Regions from separate parts of the Mus musculus genome. Here all the other regions are reported to be linked to region 2. Evidence: microRNA targets listed by miRTarBase, many of them from high-throughput screens and not tested one by one. Region 2 holds a microRNA gene; each other region holds the end of a gene's coding sequence.
The links. Region 2 holds the annotated microRNA mmu-miR-22-3p (AAGCUGCCAGUUGAAGAACUGU, at 3,160-3,181, shown strand). A microRNA usually pairs through its seed, bases 2 to 8, with sites in the 3' UTR of a target mRNA and lowers its output. Matches are read on the target gene's strand: a 7mer-m8 pairs with bases 2 to 8, a 7mer-A1 pairs with bases 2 to 7 and ends in A, and an 8mer does both.

Region 1 (7,480 bases), not on the chromosome of region 2:
CTTTGACAATGCAGCAGTGCCCTCTGCTGTGAAGCTTGCATTTAACAAGAAACCAGTCTGGCCACAGGCACAGGCTACTCCATGGCTACAGCCTTCTTTCCTATGCACTTACATCAAGAATGTTAGACTATTCCAGATTCTGGGAAGATTCCCACCCCCACCCCCACCCCCCAGTTGTCTGTCTATGATTCAGAGTGCTTCCTCCTTCCCTAACCTTGGGTTATTGGTCACTAGTGCCAGAGTGCCATCTTACCACACAGATGAAAGTCTGCCTACCTCAGAGCTCTGGAGCTCAGAACAGGTTGGTCTTAAGACTAACTGATCTCTCCTTGCACTTCTAATTTCTCTCCCCTCCCCAGCCCCTCCCTCCTTTTGGGTTTTGAAGACCTGTAGCTGTCTGTCCTGGAACTTGCTCTGTAGACCAGGCAGGCCTTGAACCCACAGAGATTTACCTTCCTCTGTCTCCTGTGTGCTAGGATGAAAGGTGTGTGCCATCACTGCCCAGCTGAAGAGTCGTTTTTCAAAGTTTTGTTTTGCCTGCATCTTAGGGTTTCTATTTCTGTGAAAAACACCATGAGCAAAAGTGACTGGGGAGGAAATGCCACAGACCACCCCAGTTGGGTATGGGGGTCCCTGGAATGAGGGGCCTCGAAGCTAGGTGAGTAAGGATTCAGCAGTGACAAACAGAAACAAACACTGAGGCAGTTTGAATCTGAGTGTATTTTGTAGCTCTCAAGCAAGGGATTTTATACATTAAAAAAACAGAGCCAGGCGCCTTTAATCCCAGCACTCAGGAGGCAGAGGCAGGTGGATTTCTGACTTCAAGGCCAGCCTGGTCTACAAAGTGAGTTCCAGGACAGCCAGGGCTATACAGAGAAACCCTGTCTCAAAAAACCAAACCGAAAACAAACAAACAAACAAACCAAACATTACATCTCTTAGAAACTATATCCAGTAAAACAACCACAAATATCAACAGAAATCATTTGGCAAGGTAAAGCACAAAAATATCTCTTAGAAACTGTACACAGTGAAACAATCACAAACAGAACAGGTAACAACATTGTTAATGTAAATCATCAAAATATAACAATTCTAAAAGAATTTATTCAGTGGGGGCAATCATCCAAGGCTAGTGGCATATTTCCAAGAGCAGTTAATAAATCTTTATGCTTTTAACTGCTTAGCTAACTTTCCAGCCCCATGGTCAATTATTATTTAACATCTGATGCCTGATTTTTTATAAATCTTCAACACATAAATTTAAACTATTTTAATTCTTTCTAGTTGAGGCTTTCTTTTTTTTTAAGGAATGCCATTTTTTTTTTAAAAGATTTATTTATTTATTATATGTAAGTACACTGTAGCTGTCCTCAGATACTCCAGAAGAGGGCATCAGATTTCGTTACGGATGGTTGTGAGCCACCATGTGGTTGCTGGGATTTGAACTCGGGACCTTCGGAAGAGCAGTCAGCACTCTTAACCACTGAGCCATCTTGCCAGCCCGGAATGCCATTTTTTAAAAGATTTATTTATTATATCTAAGTACACTGTAGCTGTCTTCAGATGCACCAGAAGAGGGCATCAGATCTCATTAACAGGTGGTTGTGAGCCACCATGTGGTTGCTGGGATTTGAACTCAGGACCTTCGGAAGAGCAGTCGGTGCTCTTAACCACTGAGCCATCTCTCCAGCCCCAATTGAGGCTTTCTTTACCATTTACCAAAACCCACCTCTGATGACACACGTGTAGCCATATGAGAAATTTTATTGTTGGGAAAGGTTTTTTTTTTTTTTTTTTTGGTTTTTGAGACAGGGTTTCTCTATAGCCCTGGCTGTCCTGGAACTCACTTTGTAGACCAGGCTGGCCTCGAACTCAGAAATCCACCTGTGTCTGCCTCCCGAGTGCTGGGATTAAAGGCATGCGCCACCACACCTGGCTTGTTAGGAAAGTTTTTATCTATCATAATAATTTGGTAAATGATTTAAAAAGTTAAGTGTTGGTTTCCCTGGGGATAAGATCTTGTTAGTGACCCCTTATTCTTGTTTAAGATCTTGGCCTAGGCTACCGGGATCATGTGAAATAAGAAAAGGAATAAGAGAAAACAAAACAGATAGATTGCCATGAGAACTATGGCTTAATAGTTTTTCCAGCGAAGAGTTCCACAACTGGTTCCAGGAAGCCTCTCCCTTCTGAGGTCAATTGCCTCAGAAGTGGAACTTGTCACACAGATCCTACTGGAGGTGGTGTGGCATGGAAAGGGTTTATTTTAGCTTGTAACTCTCAGGTCACACTCTATCACAGAGGGAAGGCACAGAACCCAAGGCAGGAATCTGGAGGCAGGAACAGATGCAGAGGCCATGGAGGAACACTGCTTACTGGCTTGCTCAGACTACTTTCTTTCTTTCTTTCTTTCTTTCTTTCTTTCTTTCTTTCTTTCTTTCTTTCTTTCTTTCTTTCTTTCTTTCTTTCTTTTTTGTTGTTTGTTTTACAAGATAGGGCTTCCCTGGCTGTCCTGGAACTTACTCTATAGACCAGGCTGGCCTGGAACTCAGAGATCTGCCTGCCTTTGTCTCCCGAGTGCTGGGATTAAAGGCGTGTGCCACCATGCCTGGCTCAGACTACTTTTTTGTTTTGTTTTGTTTTTTTTTTGTTTTTTTTGCGAGACAGGGTTTCTCTGTGTAGCCCTGGCTGTCCTGGAACTCACTTTGTAGACCAGGCTGGCCTCGAACTCAGAAATCCGCCTGCCTCTGCCTCCCGAGTGCTGGGATTAAAGGCGTGCGCCACCACGCCCGGCCTTACTTTTTTTTTAAAACATGTATTTATTATATGTAAAGTACACTGTAGCTGTCTCTCATTATTGGATGGTTGTGAGCCATCATGTGGTTGCTGGGATTTGAACTCATGACCTTTGGAAGAGCAGTCAGTGCTCTTAACCACTGAGCCATCTCTCCAGCCCCAGACTACTTTCTTAATTAACACAGGACTACTAGTTCAGGGTGGCACCACCTAGAGTGAGCCCTTCCATATCAATCACCAATCAAGAAAATATCCAACAGACTTAACTATAGGCCAATTGTATGGAGAAACTTTCTTGATTATGATTCCTTCTTCCCACAAGACCCTAGTTTGTGTCAAGTTAGCATTAAAAATTAGCCAGCACAGCTAAAAATTAGCTGGTGAGGTGGCTCAGTGTGTAAAGGCAGTGACTCTAAGCCTGATGTTCCAGATTCAACCCCCAGTCAGGTGACAGGAGGGAATCTTGCAAGTTATTCTCTGGTTTCCACGTGAGCAATTGCACATATATACACATTCTATATTATATCCTTTACAATTATAAGTGTTTTGCTTCCATGTATGTATTTGCATCAAATGTGTGCCAGATGTCCCAAAAGATCAGAAGAGGTTGTTAGATAACTTGGAACTGGAATTAGAAATGGTTTGTGAGCCACCATGTGCATGTTTTCTGGAAGAGCAGCACGTGTTCTTAACCACTGAAACATCTCTCCAGTTCTTTAAAGCTGATAAATCAAAGAAAACAATTCTAAGTGTGTGCCAAGTGTAGGTGCCCATGGAGGCTGTAAGAAAGCCTTGGTTCCTTGGAGCTGGAGTTTCAGGTAGCTGTGGGCTTGTTGATGACCATCCTGGGAACTGAACTTGGGTCCCCTTGCCATTTGAGAGCCATGGTCTTATATAACTTATGCTGATAGATACCCAAGAATGACCCTGACTTTGTAATTTCCCTGCCTCTCTCTTCAGACTACTGAGATTAAAAGCATGGACCAGCATGCCCATTTATGGTGCATGGAGATAAATAACCCGGGGATTCATGCATACTGGACAAGCGCTCACCAACTTAGTCATTCCAGACTGGTCTGAGCTGCAGAGTGAAATCATTTCAAAAATTTTAAATGAGAAACATGGGCTCCTGCTGCTGGTTTAGTGGTTAAGAGCACTTGCTGTTCCCAGAACTCACAATCAATCATCTTTAACTCCAGTTCTGGATCTAGTGTCCTATGATGGCCTCTGCAGGCACCAGGCACTCAAGTGGTATATATATATACATACACACACACACACACACACACACACACACAATACATGCAAGGAAAACACTCATACATATAAATTAATCTTAAAATTAAAATAAAACAGTGAAAAAGTTCATATGCATCTATGCATCTTGTAGTGGAACTCACTGTTATGTCTTTTTTTTTTTTCTTTTTGGTTTTTCAAGACAGGGTTTCTCTGTAGTCCTAGCTGTCCTGGAACTCACTTTGTAGACCAGGCTGGCCTCGAACTCAGAAATCCACCTGCCTCTGCCTCCCGAGTGCTGGGATTAAAGGCGTGCACCACCACGCCCGCTCACCGTTATGTCTTAAACCCAGGACATTTGTTCCAGGTTGGAGACCAATCAATCAGCATGGTCCTGCCTTGACCGTTTAGAGATACAAACACGTAGCACTAAGTCCAGCTCAAGAATACAGTTGAAACTTAGCCTTAGGGCCAGAGCAGTTGTTACTATGCCCAAGGTACATCAAATTACCTGAAAAGGGAAGTTTTCTTTTTTTAAAAAGATTTACTTATTATATATAAGTACACTGTAGCTGTCTTCAGACACACCAGAAGAGGGCATCAGATCTCACTACAGATGGTTGTGAGCCAACATGTGGTTGTTGGGAATTGAACTCAGGATCTCTGGAAGAGCAGTCTCCCAACCGCTGAACCCTCTCTCCAGCCTCCAAAGGGAAGATTTTGATTTTATTTTGTAAGACAGGGTCTCATGTAGCTGAGGCTGGCTTTGCACTGGCAGGGAGCTGAGTGTGATCTTGAACCCCAGCTCTCCTGGGTCTGACTCACCAAGTACTCAGTATAGCACTTATTTTACACTTGGCAGAAAGTTTTAAAACTCAGAACCTCAGTTCTGGCTTAAAATGAAGAGTCATGACTTAAATACACACACACACACACACACACACACACGCACACACACACACACGCACAGAGCACACGCACAGAGCACATGCACACACACACACACACAGCACACACACACACACACACAGCACATGCACACACACACACAGAGCACACACACACACACACACACACAGAGCACACACACACACACACACACACACACACAGCACACGCACACACACAGACAGCACATGCACACACATGCTTTAACGAATCTGCGGACCATCCTTGCAGGGGTCATGCTTTTGTTCCACCTTTAGTGTAAATGCTGCTGAAAGCAGGCACCATCTTTTTTTTTTTTTAATTTTAAGCAGATTCATATGACGCTGAGGGTCTAAAGCTTGAAAACTAAAGAAAAGAACTTTGGCATTATCAGGCTATACATGAGGTCTCACAGATCTGTGTTTGTGTGTGTGTGTGTGTGTGTGTGTGTAAGGTCAGGTGTTGGCCTTCATCTTCTAACTTTAGACAGTCTCTTCTGTATGCCATATTAGCTGGCCTGAGAGCTTCCATGGCTTCTGTCCCCACCTCTCTTCTCATGGTGAGGATTACCACGATTACAGAGGCACAGTAGAGTGGCCAGTGTCCTATTAGCTCCCTAGGTTTGGAACTCAGAGCCTCGTGCAACCGTCTTACTCACCCAATGAGGCACCTCCCCAGCCTGACTGTATTTCTTAACTGTTTATGGTGTGCAAGCTCTGACTCAGTGCTCCTGTGACAGGCAAGCCCTTAAAGGAGCCTCCTCTCAAGACAATTCTCCTTATGCAGATCCTCCAGGAAGAGCCTGGGTTCCAAGTCACTTCGATTTTACTTTCCCATTTGAGTAAAGAGGCTGAGAAAGGGAAGAAAATACATAGAGGGTAAGCCATGTTCTCAGAAAACCAGAAGCCTGTGCAGAGCTGCTGCTTGTGGCAAGATATGGGAGACTGGGGCTAGAACTCTGAACTCTCAAACACAATGCTCATCATCTAGAACAGCCAGCAGCTCACGGAAACCACGCCCAGCCTCAGGAGGGGCACTTCATCAGCACGACAGGCTTAGAGACATCTAGAGGTTTTGGTTTAATGGGTTTTGTTTTATTTTGTTTGTTTTGTTTTTGAGACAAGGTCACATGTAGACCAGGCTGGCCTCAAACTCAAAGATCCTCCTGCCTTTGCCTCCTTAGTGCTAGGACGAAAGGCATTTATTTACAGCCTGCCTGGCTCTGCCCATGTTTGCAGACATAATCACGGGATTAGCGACATGGAAGATGACTCCTTCTGTCCAGGGTCTGTAGTGTCTTCACTGCCACCGTCATAGTCACTATTGTGGGCTCGCACCCTTCACCAGGAGGGCAATCTGTCCCTGCAGCTGCCGCTCCCCTTCCTGGGCCTTGCTCTGGCTTCGCCAGCTCAGCAGCTCAGCCTGGTGGTCCTGGTGAAGCATGGGACAGTAGCTCTGTGGGTCACACAGCTCCTGAAAGGTACGAGACAAAGGTTTCTCAGACTCCTGAGCCCTGCCTACTACAGAGAAGAGATACTGCTCCCTGGGTCTGAGAAACCCGTTTTCTCCTAGACTGCTTTACATCCCTGGAGACTATGCTAAAGCTGAGTTGGAGCACCCCTCCCACCATGTCTGAGATCTTCCACATCCTTTTACCATATACTCTGGAAAGAAATCTCTGTAGCCCCCTTTGAGGATATATAGCTCAGGGTAATATAATGCCGGATACTGGTTCAGAGCCCTGTCTTTTTCTCTCAGAGAACGGCACCTGTAAAGAAAACACAGAGATGGGTTGGATGGAGGAAGCAAGGCCAGGACTCTATGGTCCTTCAGTGGGAGGGAGGGAAGAACACACTATGAGTAACTGCCCCGGAGGACCTCCAGTGTTGGGACGTAGCTCAGTGGTAGAGTACCATGTAGTACACAGAAGACCCAGGGTTTTGTGTTTTGTTTTGTTTTGGTGTGGTTTTGGTTTTTTCGAGACTGGGTTTCTCTGTGTAGCCCTGGCTGTCCTAGAACTCACTCTGTAGACCAGGCTGGCCTTGAACTCAGAAATCTGACTGCCTCTGCCTCCCAAGTGCTGAGACTAAAGGCGTGCGCCACCACCACCTGGCAGAAGACCCAGGTTTAATCCACAGCCACCCCCACCCCAATACACACAGGCTCTCACCATGTTTACCAACCAAGGTCCAGTGACACTCTTCCCTTTCCTCTATTGAAGCTTCATCCCCAAATCCCTTTGTGTGTGTGTGTGTGTGTTTTACATGGGTTTTTCATTGTTTTGTTTTGTTTTGTTTTGTTTTTGAAACAGGGTCTCACTATGTAGACCAGGCTGGTCTCAAACTCAGTTATCTATCTGCCTCTGACTCCTAAGGGCTGGGATTATCGGCATGGACCACCATGTCTGGATCTTTTTTTTTTTTTTGAGACAGGATCTCTAGCTCAGACTGATTTAGAACCTTAAATTTCTGATCTTCCTGCTTGTGTATCCCTGACACACCACGACTCCCTTACTTTT
Region 2 (7,480 bases):
CTTCATTGGTCTCCACCTTTGAAATCACTTCCCTAAGTAGGCCTGAGTCAGAGAAGCGTTTCGGAGGGCGGGACTGAATGGGTGTTAATCTTAGAACCGGGTTTCTGGTTGATACTACTTTGGTAAAGATCTTCCCCTAATTTTTAAAAAGACGCTTCCTCTCTAAAAGTGAGGGCGAATCCTTTGTTAAGAACGTGCCCCTTGAGAAGCCGTGGGCTCTTCAGCGACTAAGACGAGACATTCACTAGAAAAGATTTCACTAAACCCACGAGGGATAGACTAGACCTCCAGTGAAGATTGGGCCTGTGCGGGTGACATTTGTCCCTATACCCCGAAGACCTCGAGCTAGCTCTCCAGTGAAGACTGGGGCCGTGCGAGTGACAGTGGTCCCTATACCCCGAAAAAAAAAAAGTCCTATTTGTGGAAAAAAAAAAAGACTTCGGGTGTTCTGCTGCATCGGTGGCTGGCTTCCATCTTTAGTTCTACTCACTCCTGTTGCTTCGCGTGCTCCACCTTCGCTTAGCTCAGGCCTCCTGTGAATCAGTTTTGAGGCTAAAAGAAGTTCCAAGAAGGAGGGGCTGTAGCCCTTTAAGGACTTCCCCGCGACCGAGTCAGAGATCAGTTTAAAAATGCCAACTCACAGAGCGCGCTGCATTCTGGGAAGCTGAGTGTCACCGTAAGAACTTCATTGACCGGAATGCACTGCAAAAATACACGCCTATACTTCCTTCTGCTCTTTAAACTGTAGTTTGACGTAAAGCTGGTCTAAGCAAGTCGCCTAGGCCGAGGGTTAGCCACACCTTTTCAGCCATTGGCCAGTTGGTTAGTTGGTAGGCGTGGCTTAGAGAAGCTCCTCCAGGCAAGGGGGTGGCCTCCTTGCCAATCAGAGCCCAGACGCCTGAATGGGCGGGAGTAAGCAGAGGTGCTGGCGCCCCCGAGTGGGTGTGGTCACGTTGCCCAGCAATGGGCGGTGATTGGCCCTGGGTGGTTCATTCGCAGCTCGTGCGTCACGACGCCGCCAGCTGATCGGAGACTGGAGCCGGTGTGTGCTGGGCGCTGGGAAGAGACAGAGCGGTCGGCCGTGCGGACAGGTCGCAGTGATTTTGCTCCTCTGTCCACAGCAACCCCCGCACCCAGCATCAGGTGGGTGTGATCTGGGGACCCGGTCATCCCGGGGGGAACCGCGGTAACCGGGTGATGGGGAAAGTAGGGTCCTGACGGCCACACCCTGCCCTTCTGGGGGAGGGGAGAGGGGGCGGCGGGGACAGGGGCGCTCTTGGGAGAGGAGCCTGGACTCTCCCGAGTAGTGTGTCTGGACGTTTAAAGAGAGAGTCCCGGACAGGAGTCGTGGCAGAAGGTTTGGAGAAGTAACTGGGGAGGAATATGAGAGGCCAGAGGGCCGGGGGCGTCTAACCCCGACGCCCTTTGGTTTGAGGATGCCCGAGCTGACCATTTAGCCTAGGGAGGATCTGGACGAGCGAGGGGTGCGGAGGTGCATTGCCTCTACCGGCGCTGACTGGGTCAGGGCCAGTTCAAGTCCCTGGCAGGGAAGGGGTCGCTGGGCGGTCCGGCCCCTCCTCTCGTTCCCTCCCGGGGATGTTATGTAAGGGGGGAGGGGAAAGGAGTAGGGGGCGGCGGTGCGGAGGCCTTATGCAACCCAAAGGTTAGGGTTTCACCGCGGGTTGGGCGGAGGTTGGGGGGGCGGACAGGAGGAGTGCCTGGAAACTCTACCCGCACCCCCCCTCCCAGCCTAACTGGCTGTCTTGGACAGAGAGAAGGTCACCTTTGCACCTCCCCCCTAGTATGTCCGGTAGAGAGGCCCCTAGCCCGGGCTTGGCCTGACTGCCTGGGAAGCCGGCTGGCTGGGTGGGGCGCCTGGGTTAGTCATCGCTGGGCTCCCTCTCTCCCCACCTCCTGGCCAACTCTTGGCCCCTCCCCACGGCCTCCGGTTAGGCTAACGTTCCCACCTCCCTCTGGCCCTAGTTTCAGTCTCCAACTCATTTGGCCTGTCACCCTGGCTGTTAGAGTAGGCTAGAAGCTGTCATGGTGCCAGAGAGTTGATGGAGCAGCTGGTCAGAGGGTCAGTGCCCTGGGCCCACCCCGCCCCGCAGCCAAGGGCACCTGCTTGGCACAAACTCTCAGCAGCCAGTGAACCCTGTGGCCTGAACAGAGCTATCCTGGGCAGAGAGAAGTGGACAGAGACTGATCACCTAGGAGAAGGAAGATCCGACAAAGTTTATACTTCCCAAGAGGCTTTTGGAATTTGAAAGTTGCCCACCCTAGTGTAATCTTTCCACTCTCTGAAAATAGAAATCCCAAGGCAAAGTCTCCTTGGCCCTTCTATCTGGCAGTGGCCATGTCCTTGGACTGACTGTGCAGAACCACCCTCTCGGGCTCCCAGCCCTCTAGCCTGCCACGCCCCCAGCCCCCTCCCTGAGCCATGCTGTAGGGCCCCGGCTTTTACTGCTGATTCATGCGTTGGAACTGTGGGGGCGGGGCTTGGAACTTGGAACAAAGTTCAGACGTGGAGGGGCCGGCAGACAGCCTGGAATTCATACCAGATGTACCCGGAATGTGCAAGCGGAATGCCTGGCATCTCTAGTCCTGAGGAAGCTGCCCAGCCACCCTACCCATACCTCCCTCCCCTCCTGCCTTTGGTCAGCTGTCCTCCCTCAGACTCCTGAGAGCCCCTGCTGACCTTCCAACTCTAGTGCCCCTCCCATTTCTAACCCTACACAAACCCTCCTTGCTGCTGAATTCCCTAAGAACAAGTCATTTGAGTTGATCACAGAGCTCATATTTCTGAAGTACATTTTTTTTTTTAACTTGGGACTTGGGTTCTACACCCTGCCCTTTGAATGCCGAAGATGCTGGGCTCCTTAGCAGGTTGCCAAGAGTTGCCAGCTCCTAGTCTGTAAAGGGGCACAAAGCAAGTGCATTTAGAAGCCTCTTGCTTCTTATTCAAGAACCCCTCATTAGAAGGTACTGAAAGTCAGCTAGAGCCAGGTTTGGATGGCCTCTGGGTCGCTGGCCCTGTCACCCAGCTTTCCTGTTTTTTTTTTTCCTCCCCTTCCTTTTAGGAACCTGTGCCTCCCACACCCTCACCTGGCTGAGCCGCAGTAGTTCTTCAGTGGCAAGCTTTATGTCCTGACCCAGCTAAAGCTGCCAGTTGAAGAACTGTTGCCCTCTGCCCCTGGCTTCGTGGAGGAAGAGGAGAAGCAGCAGCTTTGCCTATCATCCGGAAGGTGACAGAACTGGGGTGGGAAGGTCTGGACAGCTGGGGTGATGGCTTTATGGGAGGGAAACCCTGGTCCTCTGGGGAGCCCTTACCCCCACTGGCCCAGTGAAAGATTTAGGTTAAAGGCACTGTCTATAAATTGGGGAATAGGTGACTCCACCTCCCCAAGATTAGTTGATGTCTGTGTGGCAGTGGGAAGAAATAGAAGGAAAAGTCTGTCTGTTTACTGAGACTTCCTTGTAGGCCTGCCTTTCTTATCTTCATCATCACCATGCCAACACACACACACACACACACACACACACACACACATACACACACATACACACACACACACACACACACACTTTCCTTTCCATGAGGTCCAAAAGTAAATGTACTCAGGAAGGGGGACATTGAAACTCCGTTCTAAGTAGTCATTTGTGTATTTACTTTTTTTGTTTATTTGTTTGTTTGTCTTTCGAGACAGGGTTTCTCTGTATAGCCCTGGCTGTCCTGGAACTCACTTTGTAGACTAGGCTGGCCTCGAACTCAGAAATCTGCCTGCCTCTGCCTCCCAAGTGCTGGGATTAAAGGCGTGTGCCACCACCGCCCGGCTGTATTTACATTTCTTTATTTATTTTTAGTCTGGCCCAGATTTTGGGTTTAGGGGTACTTACCCTTACACCTGTGGATTTTTCCACCTGTATAATGGGGAATCCCATAGATAAGTAGGCAGGAGGGCATTAAAAGTCCACCAGTGGTGACTCAGAGCCTGGGCTCTTCTCTTCTCGTGGATGGAAACGAAACAGCTCTTCACATGAACTGTTGTCCTTCCCCCACCCCCTGACTACTCACCCAGCTCAGGGGGATTAGGATGGAAGGAAAGGCTATGGTTAAGTCCCAGGCAAGCTCGTGGGAGGCTAGTCCTCTACTGGCTTCTCACCATGCATGGGTGGTCCAAGGCTTTCCCTCCACCTAAAGCAAAACTGTAGCTCTTGGTTGGGTTCTAGCAACCACTGCCATTTATTTTCTGCCTTTGCTTTCCAGGATAGTGAGACTCTGCTCAATACTGTGCAGGCAAGAAATTGTCAGGGGAGATGGGTTGTATGATATGAGTCCCTTCTGCTGCCTCTAGCTCCTGATTCATTCTCACGTATGGGCTTGGTCTCTGATTGTGGTTCACCTTTGGCCCAGTCTTCCTAACAGAAGATGGGTTCAGGGGGTACAGGAGGCTGTTTGTTGTATTTGACAGGAGGAGGAGTTCTAGCCTGTTCCCCATTTGTGAGAAACTGAAAGTCATAGGGGAGACTAGATCATCTAATCCAGCCCCACTGCAGTCTAAGCTGAGGGATAGGATGTGTAAGGGACTGTAGCAGACGGGCTGGGGAGGCTGAGTCGGCTCACACATTGCGACAAAGATTGCCCTTCCCTCGACCTCGCTTGCTTTCTTTCCTCCTCCCTTCCCTGGCCACAGTGTGTCCCTCCAGCACTGGGTACATGGCTCTGCTGTCCTCATCCAACATGGAGCCTCAGAGGTGAGAAAGGGCAGCCTGGAAGCAACAGAGGCAGGCACAAGACAGTGGAGGACCTGGCCTGGAACCACAAGGGCCTATCCGGACATTGGTCAGAGAGGCACGTAGAAGCCTGGAGAACACCAGGAAAGAGAGCAGCCAGCCAGCCTCAGTGAAAGACACGTGCTTCCAGCCATCTCCTCTCAGGACCTGCCTTCCTGGGAGATGAAGGGCCTCCAGGAAGTATGGTCCCATCTCTACCCTGCAGTTTCTATAAACAGCCTCAAGGAGCATGAGCCACCTCTGAAAGGAAATACACAGCAAATTCAAAAAGAGATTCAAATGTGTAACACTGTGGGAAAACATATCTATGACTGGGGTTGTAGCTCAGTTGGTAGGTTTGCTTAACATGCACCAAGCCCTGGTTCTGTCTTCTGCATTGCATAAAACTGAACAGGTTGGCCCAGGTCTGCAATCCCGGCACTCTGGAGGTGGTGGCAAAGGAGCCTACATTCAAGGTAATCCTCTGCTATACAATGAGTTCTGAGCCAGCCTGGGCTATATGAGACTGTCTCAAAAAATAAAACAAAATAAAATAAAGCATTGGTTAGTAATTCAAAGAAAGCAGATGTGGCTGAAACCGTTTTCCCTGATCATAATACAACAAGCAAATGAAAGCCAGAAGAAGGCTCCTGTGCCTTGTGTGTGGCAGTACCAACCATTGTGAGAGATGCCTTTGGACCTGGTAGTTTGCTGTCTTAGAAATGTATCCTAAAATAAGGATTTGGTTATAAAATGTTCATCTCAGGGTTGTAATAGAGAAAAATGGAACGCAGCTGTTTGTTTGGAAGTCCATTCCTTTTCTGCTGTCATGAAAATGTATAGCTAGGGCTTGCCTAAGTAAATTATATTCATCTGATGGTGGTGTTCTGTGCAGCCATCCAAAGTCTTACAGAAGAAAAATTGAGTGGAAATATAAATATTGAATACTAAAAAGATTATAAAAGTATGAGTTTGTGACTGTTTTTAAAATATGAACACATACTTGTAATATATTTTTTTAAAAACCATCCAATTGAGTGGAAATATAAATACTGAATACTAAAAAGATTATGAAAAGTATGAGTTTGTGACTGTTTTTAAAATATGAATGCATACTTGTAATATATTTTTTAAAAAAACACTGAAAGTGGATTCAAAATGTTAAGAATGGTTGTTTTTGTATGGTGGGATAGTACAATTGTGAATTTTCCCCTTGTTTTTTCTGTCTTTCTAATTTTTAAATATTGTGCATTGCTTTCATATGTTAAATAAAATACAAAAGACAAATAAATGTTTTAAAATTTTTACTCTTTTATGAGTGTTTTGCCTGTGAGTGGCAGGAATCCAACATTGTCTTCTGAAAGCAGCTAGCGCTAACTTCTGAGCCGTCTCTTCACTCCCTCTGTAATTTTTAAAAAATATATTTGTATGTTATATTATGTGTCTTTGTGCACCAGAGTGTGGGTGCACATTCTGCAGAGGCCAGAAGAGGGCATCAGATTCCCTGGAGCTGCACGCTGTTTGGATCTTCTGATGTGGATGCTCAGAATCGCACTCAGGTCCTCTAGAAGAGCAGCAAATGCTCCTAGCCACTAAAGCCATCTCTCCCTCTAGTCCTCATTGTCATGTTTAGATTTTGGAGAATTTGCTTGTAGGAGGATGGGCTACACCAAGTGCCAGGTGAAAGAAAATGTTTGCTTGGGATACCTATTGCTTCTTGAGTGTGTGTGTGCATGCTTGTGTGTGTGTGTGTATGTGTGTGTGTACACTGGAGCTAGGAATCATATCCAGGGGCCTTTTCAAGCTCCACCACACTAAAGTCAATTCTATGAACTTCATTAATTGTCTGAATCCACCTACTCTCTACACACAGGAAGCATTCCTCTGACTTTCTGACTGTCAGCCAGCTAAGGAGGTGTGGCTTAGAATAAGAAAGAAGGGAAATGCTCAAAACCTGTCACTCTTTGGGGGATTTGTGGTTGGAAAGGATATTCCTCTTAAGGCCAAAGGGGTCTAGAATCTGAAGAGTCTTATTTTTAGCTTGTTTGTTTTTCTTACTTGAGACCTGGGGAGGGGAGGTGTATGTGTCTTCCATTTGCTTCTTCTACCTAATAAAGTTTCTTGGTGATGTTTGGGGGGGGGGGAGGGGGTAGGACTCAAGAAGGGATTCTCCCATAAGCTGTTCCGTTTGGGTAGTACTATGTAAGGAAGTTACAGGTGGGCAGAGCTCGGCTCTGCCTGACTGGCGTGCTCTGAGGTAAAGGTGAGATGGTGCAAGATTTGGGCCCTCAGGAGTTGGCTCTGTTGGCCCTGTACCTTCTGGTCTGTGGGTAAGGATGACCAGTAGGTGAGAGATGAGGGAACCAGAACAGAAGGTGAAAGTTAGTGGGGCGGAGCCCCAGACTAGTCAGGTGGGGGTAAACTAGATGACTTTCTGGAACCCCAAGGGGCTCGGAGACTAGTGGTGTTGGAGAAGACCTCTAATGTGTTGTAAGGCCTCTGAACTCAGTAGCCGAACTTGATGCCAGAAAGCCCCAAACTGCTAAACCCAAGCAGGAGCGGGACGCCATCCGTTCCATGGCTTCACCCGAGGTGGCCCCATGGCTGCGCCAATCAATGAGCAGCCGAGAGATAGGGGCGTGGACAAGCCAGGAAAAGTTACAGCACGCTGGAAAGATAATACAGGCCAGGAAGCCCCAGGCACAGC
Region 3 (7,480 bases), not on the chromosome of region 2:
TCAACAGGGAAAAGTTCACTCACAAGTCAAGACCAAACACTTCATTTGAATATTTTACTTGGCAATGGTGAGGGAATCTCTAAACAGTTATTTGGAACTTGGCATGATCACAGGGAAGAAAGTGTCCCTCCTGTCAGGGCACTTCTGTGCACCGTCTGCTCAGCGGAGTCCTGAGTAAGGGTTGCTTGGAAGTTGTTGGGTCCTCATGCTTTGTTTTCTTTCTTGGTGGAACTTCCCTGGGCTCTCTTATTCTCAAGGGTGTCAGGTGTCTACACTAGGTATTTTAAGCACAAAGTAGAACTTGAGAAAGGGCACTAGATTGAAAGTGAGCAGAAATAAGCCCTAGATGTATATTGTTGAGGGGTCTGGGAGTGGTCATTTACCTTCAAAAGTCTGGGTTCCGAGATGCAAGAGTCAGAGCATCCCCTACATAAGTCTGGCTAAGGTGAGCACTGATTTTATGCCATTTTGATTAAAAAAAAAAACAGCACAGCCCTACTTCCAAATATGCTCATGAAGTGTGCTTCCGTCCAGGCTCTCACGTCTAATACCTGTGGATTATCTTATTTAGATTAGATCTGCTGTTTTTGTTCCAATGCCACTCACCGAATCTCTCCTTTTCATTCTAGGCATATGCTATGATGTTGTCACTGTCTGACAAGGATTCCCTCCATCCCACCTCCCACAGTTCCTCCAACGTGTGGCACAGCATGGCAAGGGCTGCAGCAGAATCCAGTGCCATCCAGTCCATAAGCCATGTATGACATTGTCAAGGTTGACCAGAGTGGGACCAAGTCCAACGGTAGCATGGCTCTTTCATACAGAACAATTTACAAGACTGCTGAGCAGGATGCCTTATAACCCTGAAGGGTCACGCATTTAAAGTCTGGTGACCTTAAACTGAATGAGTAAAGAAAGAGAGAGAAAAAGGAAGCTATTTATTCTCAATATTTTGTTTTGCACAGCCAAGGCAGCTGCTGACTTCTGGAGGATCAATTAATCCAAAATGATTGGAGGGGAAAGGAAACCTCACCAGGGAAGGCATCTTTCATTCCCCCTGCCGCAGGGCATGGGTGGCTGAGAGGAGCAGTTGAAATGGCAGCATTGATATAAATGGACATTTCATAGAAATCAAACTCTACTCTACAGGATCACCTGATCTGACTGGGAACAGTGGCTTCTAACTACCAGATTTTTTTTTTCCTTTTTAAAGTTTTATGTAATTTAATCTTTTGCAGATGGAAGTAGTCAGAAGAAATGCACAATGATTATAGGAAGTGATAGCAGGATTTTTTGTCACCCCCCACACCCTCTTAACTTTGGCCTTCTTGAGTACATTGTTTAAAACTAGGGGGAAAAAAGGGTATGTGTATATTGTAAACTATGGATGCTCATGCAGAGAGGTTAAGTCGGTGACATAACTGTTTATCACCACTGTACCACTAATACAATGTTTGCCAAATCCTTGTAATGACATCTTAATTTTAGACAATCATGTCACTGTTTTTAATGTTTCAATTTTTTTGTGTGTTGTGTGTATCATGTATTTATTTGTTGGCAAACTATGGTTTGTTGATCAAAAAGAGCACTGTTCCCGTCAGCCACTATTTTATGATGTCTGAGGCACACCCCTTTCTGAATTCCAAGGACCAAGGTGACATGACCTGTGTATGGGAGTGCCCAATAGTGTTTGGCTTTTCTTAACATTCCTTCCTTTTTGTTGTTGTTGTTTTGTTTTCCTTTTTAATGAACTAAATACCAATAGATGCAACTTAGTTTTTGTAATACTGAAATCGATTCAATTGTATAAATGATTATAATTTCTTTCATGGAAGCATGATCCTTCTGATTAAGAACTGTACCCCATATTTTATGCTGGTTGTCTGCAAGCTTGTGCGATGATGTTATGTTCATGTTAATCCTATTTGTAAAATGAAGTGTTCCTGACCTTATGTTAAAAAGAGAGAAGTAAATAACAGACATTATTCAGTTATTTTGTCCTTTATCGAAAAACCAGATTTCATTTTTCCTTTTTGTTTGTGATCTCATTTGGAAATAATTGGCAAGTTGAGGTACTTTCTTCCCATGCTTTGTACAATATAAACTGTTATGCCTTTCAGTGCGTTACTGTGGGAGGAGCAACTAAAAAAAAAAATAAAGACTTCCAAAAATCATGAAAAATAATGACTCCCCTGTGTGCTGCTTTCTTTTCTCATGCAATTTTAGTTCCCTTCTGGCATCCAAATGATCTAAAGATACAGTGTTTAAAACCTTGATGCCCTAGCAGATTTGGGGAATGTAAGCATGCTTGTAAGGTTTTGAGATGACACAGTGATAGATCGTAGCCAGCAATGAGTTCTGCAGCTTGTGGTGAACTTTGCTCACAGTGCAAGTCAAGACCCGTAGGCAGGCTCCGCTTCCCAGCTCTGGCCTTCCTCTAGGGCTGCAGCACACATGGTAGTTGGGACAGAGCGCAGCCAGCAACAATGTTCGCTAGGGAGCTTCCTGGTATTTCTTTCTTTTTTGTCTAGCTGGTGTATGTGTTCCAGGTATAAACCCAGGGACTTACTACACACACTAGGCAAACAGGGTAGCACTGAAATATATACCCTACCTTTGATTTTTCTTATAATAATATTGATGCTATTGAAATTCATAAGGACAGAAACACCATTCATTCCCCTAGGTTCTTTTAAGATTATTATATATATATGTGTGTGTGTGTCTGTGTGTGTGTGTGTGCTGTGTGTGTGTGTGTCTGTGTGTGTGTCTGTGTGTGTGTGTGTCTGTGTGTGTCTGTGTGTGTGTGTGCTTGTGTGTGTGTCTGTGTGTGTGTGTCTATGTATGTGTGTGTCTGTGTGTGTGTGTCTGTGTGTGTGTGTCTGTGTGTGTGTGTCTCTGTGTGTGATGTACATTTCTGGTACCCCAAGGGATCAGAAGATGGCATGAGGCAACCTAGAACTTGAGTTCTAGGGAATTATCAGCCTTCTATTGTGGGTGCTAGAAAGCGAACCCAGGTCCTGCTAGAACAGCAAGTGTTCTAAACCACTGCTCCACCTCTCCTATGTTTCTTTCAAATTTCTGCCCAGATTCAAAATACCATTATAAAAAGAAAATAACAAAGTCATTGTATACCATGAAAAGTTCTTCATTTATATGTTGAATCAAACATAGTTTCTTCAAATTTTCAATATTGTTGAAAACTAGGGCTCCTCTGCTTCCATTTGTACAAATGAGGACATGTTAATTGTCATGTACATTCTTGCTCCTGGGAGCTCAGGGCCACATGTGCAGCGCTGTGATGGGACGAGAGACCCTACAGATCAGGCCTCTCCTGGGATAAAAATCAAGGATTTTGGGTTGCTTCTTGCATATAATTCAGTGTCAGATTAATTCTAAATGTTGCTATTATAGGAATATAATTCTGGGATTTAGTGTACAGATTTTATAATAGAAAGTAAACAGGATTTTCAAGAAATAACCTTAAGGTATACTCCCGTAACCAAGAAACAGAACATGATTATAGCATTTGACTGTACAAGCAACACAAGGGAGAAGGCGGAGCACTGGAGAAAGGGGCAGTTTAGACTATGCCTATGCTCACAAATAGCAATGAATGCAATTAAAATGTCCCCAGTGCTGCTAGCTTCCTTGTAGACTTCGATGTTCACATCCGTGATTTGCTAGAGTTTATGCCTCAAGTTCTAGGAAGCTAATCAAGATTTACTTCTTGTCTCTTAGTCACTTGCTTTTGTAATCACTACACCAACTACCTGCCCTGGGAAGAGTCAATGATACGATCAGGAGACTATCTAGACACTGGAGACAGAAGGCCTGGATTCGAGTTCCCCCAAACCTCCTCTGGGAAACCAGGGGCTGCTGCCATCTGGTCTGCTTCACTGAGTGGCTGCATACGTGGAGACGAAAACCAGAGGATGAGAGCTCAGTGGGAGAGTGTTGAACTCACAAAGTCCTACGTTCAATCCTTCAGCATTGCACATTAGTTAATTAATTAATTAATTAAATTTTGTAAATAATTTGTAGTAGTTCTTAATGTACAAAACACCTTATAATTTTTGGGAGGATTTTAAAGAATATAATATACAATATTTGGGTATATATTTTACAGTGACATAATATGTATATAGTGGCACATATGCAAATATTACGCGAGAACAAATTTATAATACAGCAAAGATCTATTCTATATTATTGTAATGAGTGAAAGAGAAGTTTCATACAAAAAAGTTAGGAATATTTCTCTTTCATTCTGGCCCTTGTATTTCTGCTTGGTTTTATGTGATGGGAATTGAGCCTGGAGCATATTAAACATGTGATCTACCACTAAACTATGCCTCTTGCTGTAGACATGTTTCTTGAAAAGCATACACAGGCTTAAAACAAAGGAAGTTAAATCCTTTGAAAATGTGAAACAAACAGTGTCTACTTGTTTTCTTTCATTGATAAAATTACATATATTGATGGTATATGCGATTGTGATACAAGTGTATATTAAGGAATGATTAAATTACTTAACATCATGCAATTTATGAGAAGACTACTATATCTATTCTTTACATTTAATATGCAATATATTGTTATTAGCTATTGCCACTAATATATGTATTAAATAAAGTTCTTGACATTTATTCAAATATAATTCTTTGAAGCTTCCCAAAAGTTCAAGAATAATTAAGAAAAGACATTCAAATAGCTCATTCATTAACTTGATTTTTCACATGGCTGCTACCTACAATCCTATTTCAGGAAAAATAATATTGTTCTTGCATTTACTAATGCAAATGTGATATATACATATCTATCTATCTATCTATCTATCTATCTATCTAATCATTGCTCATTTAATGTGCTTAACATGGAGACAGGGAGCTATCTTCCTGTTTTAGAGATAAGGAAACTAGAGCTGAGAAACTGCTATTGGCTGGATGAGAATGTGTAGTCTGCAGGGAACACAGTGTCTTAGATATCATAGTTCATGTACAGGAGAAGAAAGAGAATATTCCAAAGCTGAAGAAATGTGCCCAGTGAGAAACCAAAGTGAGGCTGCACCTCTGCTAATGTGCCCAGGAGACAGTGAGGCGGCTGAGTCTTGGCAGAAAAGAGTTTGAAAGATACTGCCAAGTACTTGTTCCCAGGTTTTAAAAAACTCAGGTTATTCCAAGTCAGAGCCAACAGTACCAGTGCTTTTGAAAGACCCCTAGTGCTTTATTACTAAGGGTCTTGGCTGTCTTTTCTGGACCTCGTAAGCTGGTGGACCTTATTTTTTCTAAAACAGAAGATTTTTCACAATCTTATGTTTTGAATTGATTAACATGCAATGATTTAAGCACCTTCAGAAGCGGTTAGACTCAGGAGGAAGCAAGCATAAGAGAAGGAACAGTTAAGAGCGGTCCTTGTTTGCTCTCCTTGGGCTTTAAAGGGATTGTCAGGAAGAGGGGTGTGGGGAGGAGAAAGGATGATACAGAGGGAAACTTAGCAAGCAGGTTGGGGACTTCCCCCAAGAGATGCGGTTTATTGTTTAATTGTTCTTTGTAGAAAAAAACGATTCATGGTGGATTCAGAATGCTGTTCTTGAAGCTCTGTGTATTTAAAACAGAAAAGCACCCTGTGCTCATTAGGATATAGGATGGGTACTATTCAAAAAATAACAATTGCTGGAAGAGCAGAGAAAAATACTGTAAAATGGAAAAGCCACTTTGGGAAACTACATGAAAGTTCCTAAGAAAATCGTGAATTCACTTCGGGTTATACACTCAAAAGGACTGATATCGAATTGTCAGGAGATATTTACATACTTGTGTTCACAGCATCAGTTTTTACAGAAGACAAAAGATGGAAGCATCTAGTGGACATCAAAAGATAGATGAGTGAAATGTATATACATCTATATCTATGTCCACATATCTGTGCAATGGGTATGATTCACTCTTCAAAGGGAAGGGGATTTTGACACAGACAGTAACATGGATAAATGTCAAGAACATTTTAGTAAGTGAAATAAACCAATCACAGAAGGGAAGCTACTGTAGGAGTCAGCTTCTATGGAGAACCTATGGTAATCAGTTCATAGAAGCAAAGGTGGTTTCCAAGGGGCTGGGAGATTAAAGCATGCTGAGTTGTTTAATGGGATTTCAGTTTTTGCAAGGGGAAAAGAGTCCAGTTGTTGGTGCACACTACAGGAATGTATTAGTCATGCAGGAACCATATGTCTAAAGAGGTTGATAGATATTTTATGGAATATATATTTTACCCTTATTAAAGAGCAAAGAAAAAAAATACCTCTCCCTATGGTTTTCCCAAAGAATTAAATTCTGTGTACCCTAAGGGGAAAGGCAATTACCAGGTGGTTATGTGAGAGTGTATACAATTGAGGTAAAGCTTGGGAACCAACCCAGACCAGGGAGTAGCCCGTGGAAATTCTTACTGAATTACTGTCATTAATTTTTCTTTTTTTTTGGTCACTTTACATCCAGGTTATAAAGGGACACATCAGAAAGTTGTCTCTGGTAGAAATCAGGAAGTCATGATGGTCTCGGTTACTGTGGGTTTTCTGATGTACTGTTATAACCCTGATACTGTCTCTACTATGGACTACCTGTCACGACCTGTTCCTGTTCCTGATATTATCCGTTCTCCAGCCTTTGACCCTATCATTGTACTTCAGTGGAAACTAGCAGGCAGGAGAAAATGCAGAGTAAGATTTTAGAGGCCCTTGTGATACCAAGGGACAGTGATAGGTACCAGAAGACCATAGTTAGTACAAGGCCTCTCAAGAACATATATATTCCAGATGAGGAATGGATGAGGGATGCCCTCAGCATCTCTCCCGTGTTTCTTGAATGGATACCACCTGGTCAACATGGCCTGTACAGACTTCCATGAGCTGGTTCTTCACTGCTATCTGGTTTCAATTGTCTCAGACTGGCAGAACTCCTATCAATCACCAAGTTCAATTATACATTTGAAGACTGTGTACATCATACTATTCTTGGAATACCTCCTCTTTACTCCTCCTAATCTAGACTCTCTCCCCCCCTCCAGCCTCCACTACATTCCTAATTGGCTAGGTTACTAGGTGTACTGGCTGGTTTTGTGTCAACTTGACACAGCTGGAGTTATCACAGAGAAAGGAGCTTCATTTGGGGAAATGCCTCCACGAGATCCAGCTGTAAGGCATTTTCTCAATTAGTGATCAAGAGGGGAGGTGCCACCTGTGGGCTGGTAGTCTTGGTTTTATAAGACAGCAAGCTGAGCAAGTCAGGGCAAGCAAGCCAGTAAGGAACATCCCTCCATGGCCTCTGCATCAGCTCCTGCTTCCTGACCTGCTGGAGTTCCAGTCCTGACGTCCTTGGTGATGAACAGCATTGTGGAAGTGTAAGCCAAATAAACCCTTTCCTCCCCAACTTGCTTCTTGGTCATGATGTTTGTGCAGGAATAGAAACCCTAACTAAGACACTAG

Region 1: the mRNA of Cdc25c is a reported target of mmu-miR-22-3p. The part of its 3' UTR that is shown has no 7-base or 8-base seed match.
Region 3: miRTarBase lists Mecom as a target of mmu-miR-22-3p. Seed matches in the 3' UTR shown: 7mer-m8 at 970-976.

The regions. Positions count from the first base shown.
Region 1 is chr18:34,726,959-34,734,438 of GRCm38, forward strand. It overlaps Cdc25c (cell division cycle 25C), which reads right to left. Exons shown (of 15, transcript NM_009860.3): 14 at 6,619-6,730; 15 at 6,035-6,435. The coding sequence ends at 6,283. Among named protein-coding and RNA genes, the nearest start is that of Gfra3, 10 kb to the left of the region's middle.
Region 2 is chr11:75,460,613-75,468,092 of GRCm38, forward strand. Mir22 (microRNA 22) reads left to right here and starts at 3,104; the gene lies at 3,104-3,198. It overlaps Mir22hg (Mir22 host gene (non-protein coding)), which reads left to right and starts at 927. Exons shown (of 3, transcript NR_030711.1): 1 at 927-1,143; 2 at 3,081-3,245; 3 at 4,695-6,078. It overlaps Tlcd2 (TLC domain containing 2), which reads left to right and starts at 7,438. Exons shown (of 5, transcript NM_027249.3): 1 at 7,438-7,480.
Region 3 is chr3:29,946,000-29,953,479 of GRCm38, reverse strand. It overlaps Mecom (MDS1 and EVI1 complex locus), which reads left to right. Exons shown (of 16, transcript NM_001370769.2): 16 at 630-2,184. The coding sequence ends at 764. Among named protein-coding and RNA genes, the nearest start is that of Gm52621, 47 kb to the left of the region's middle.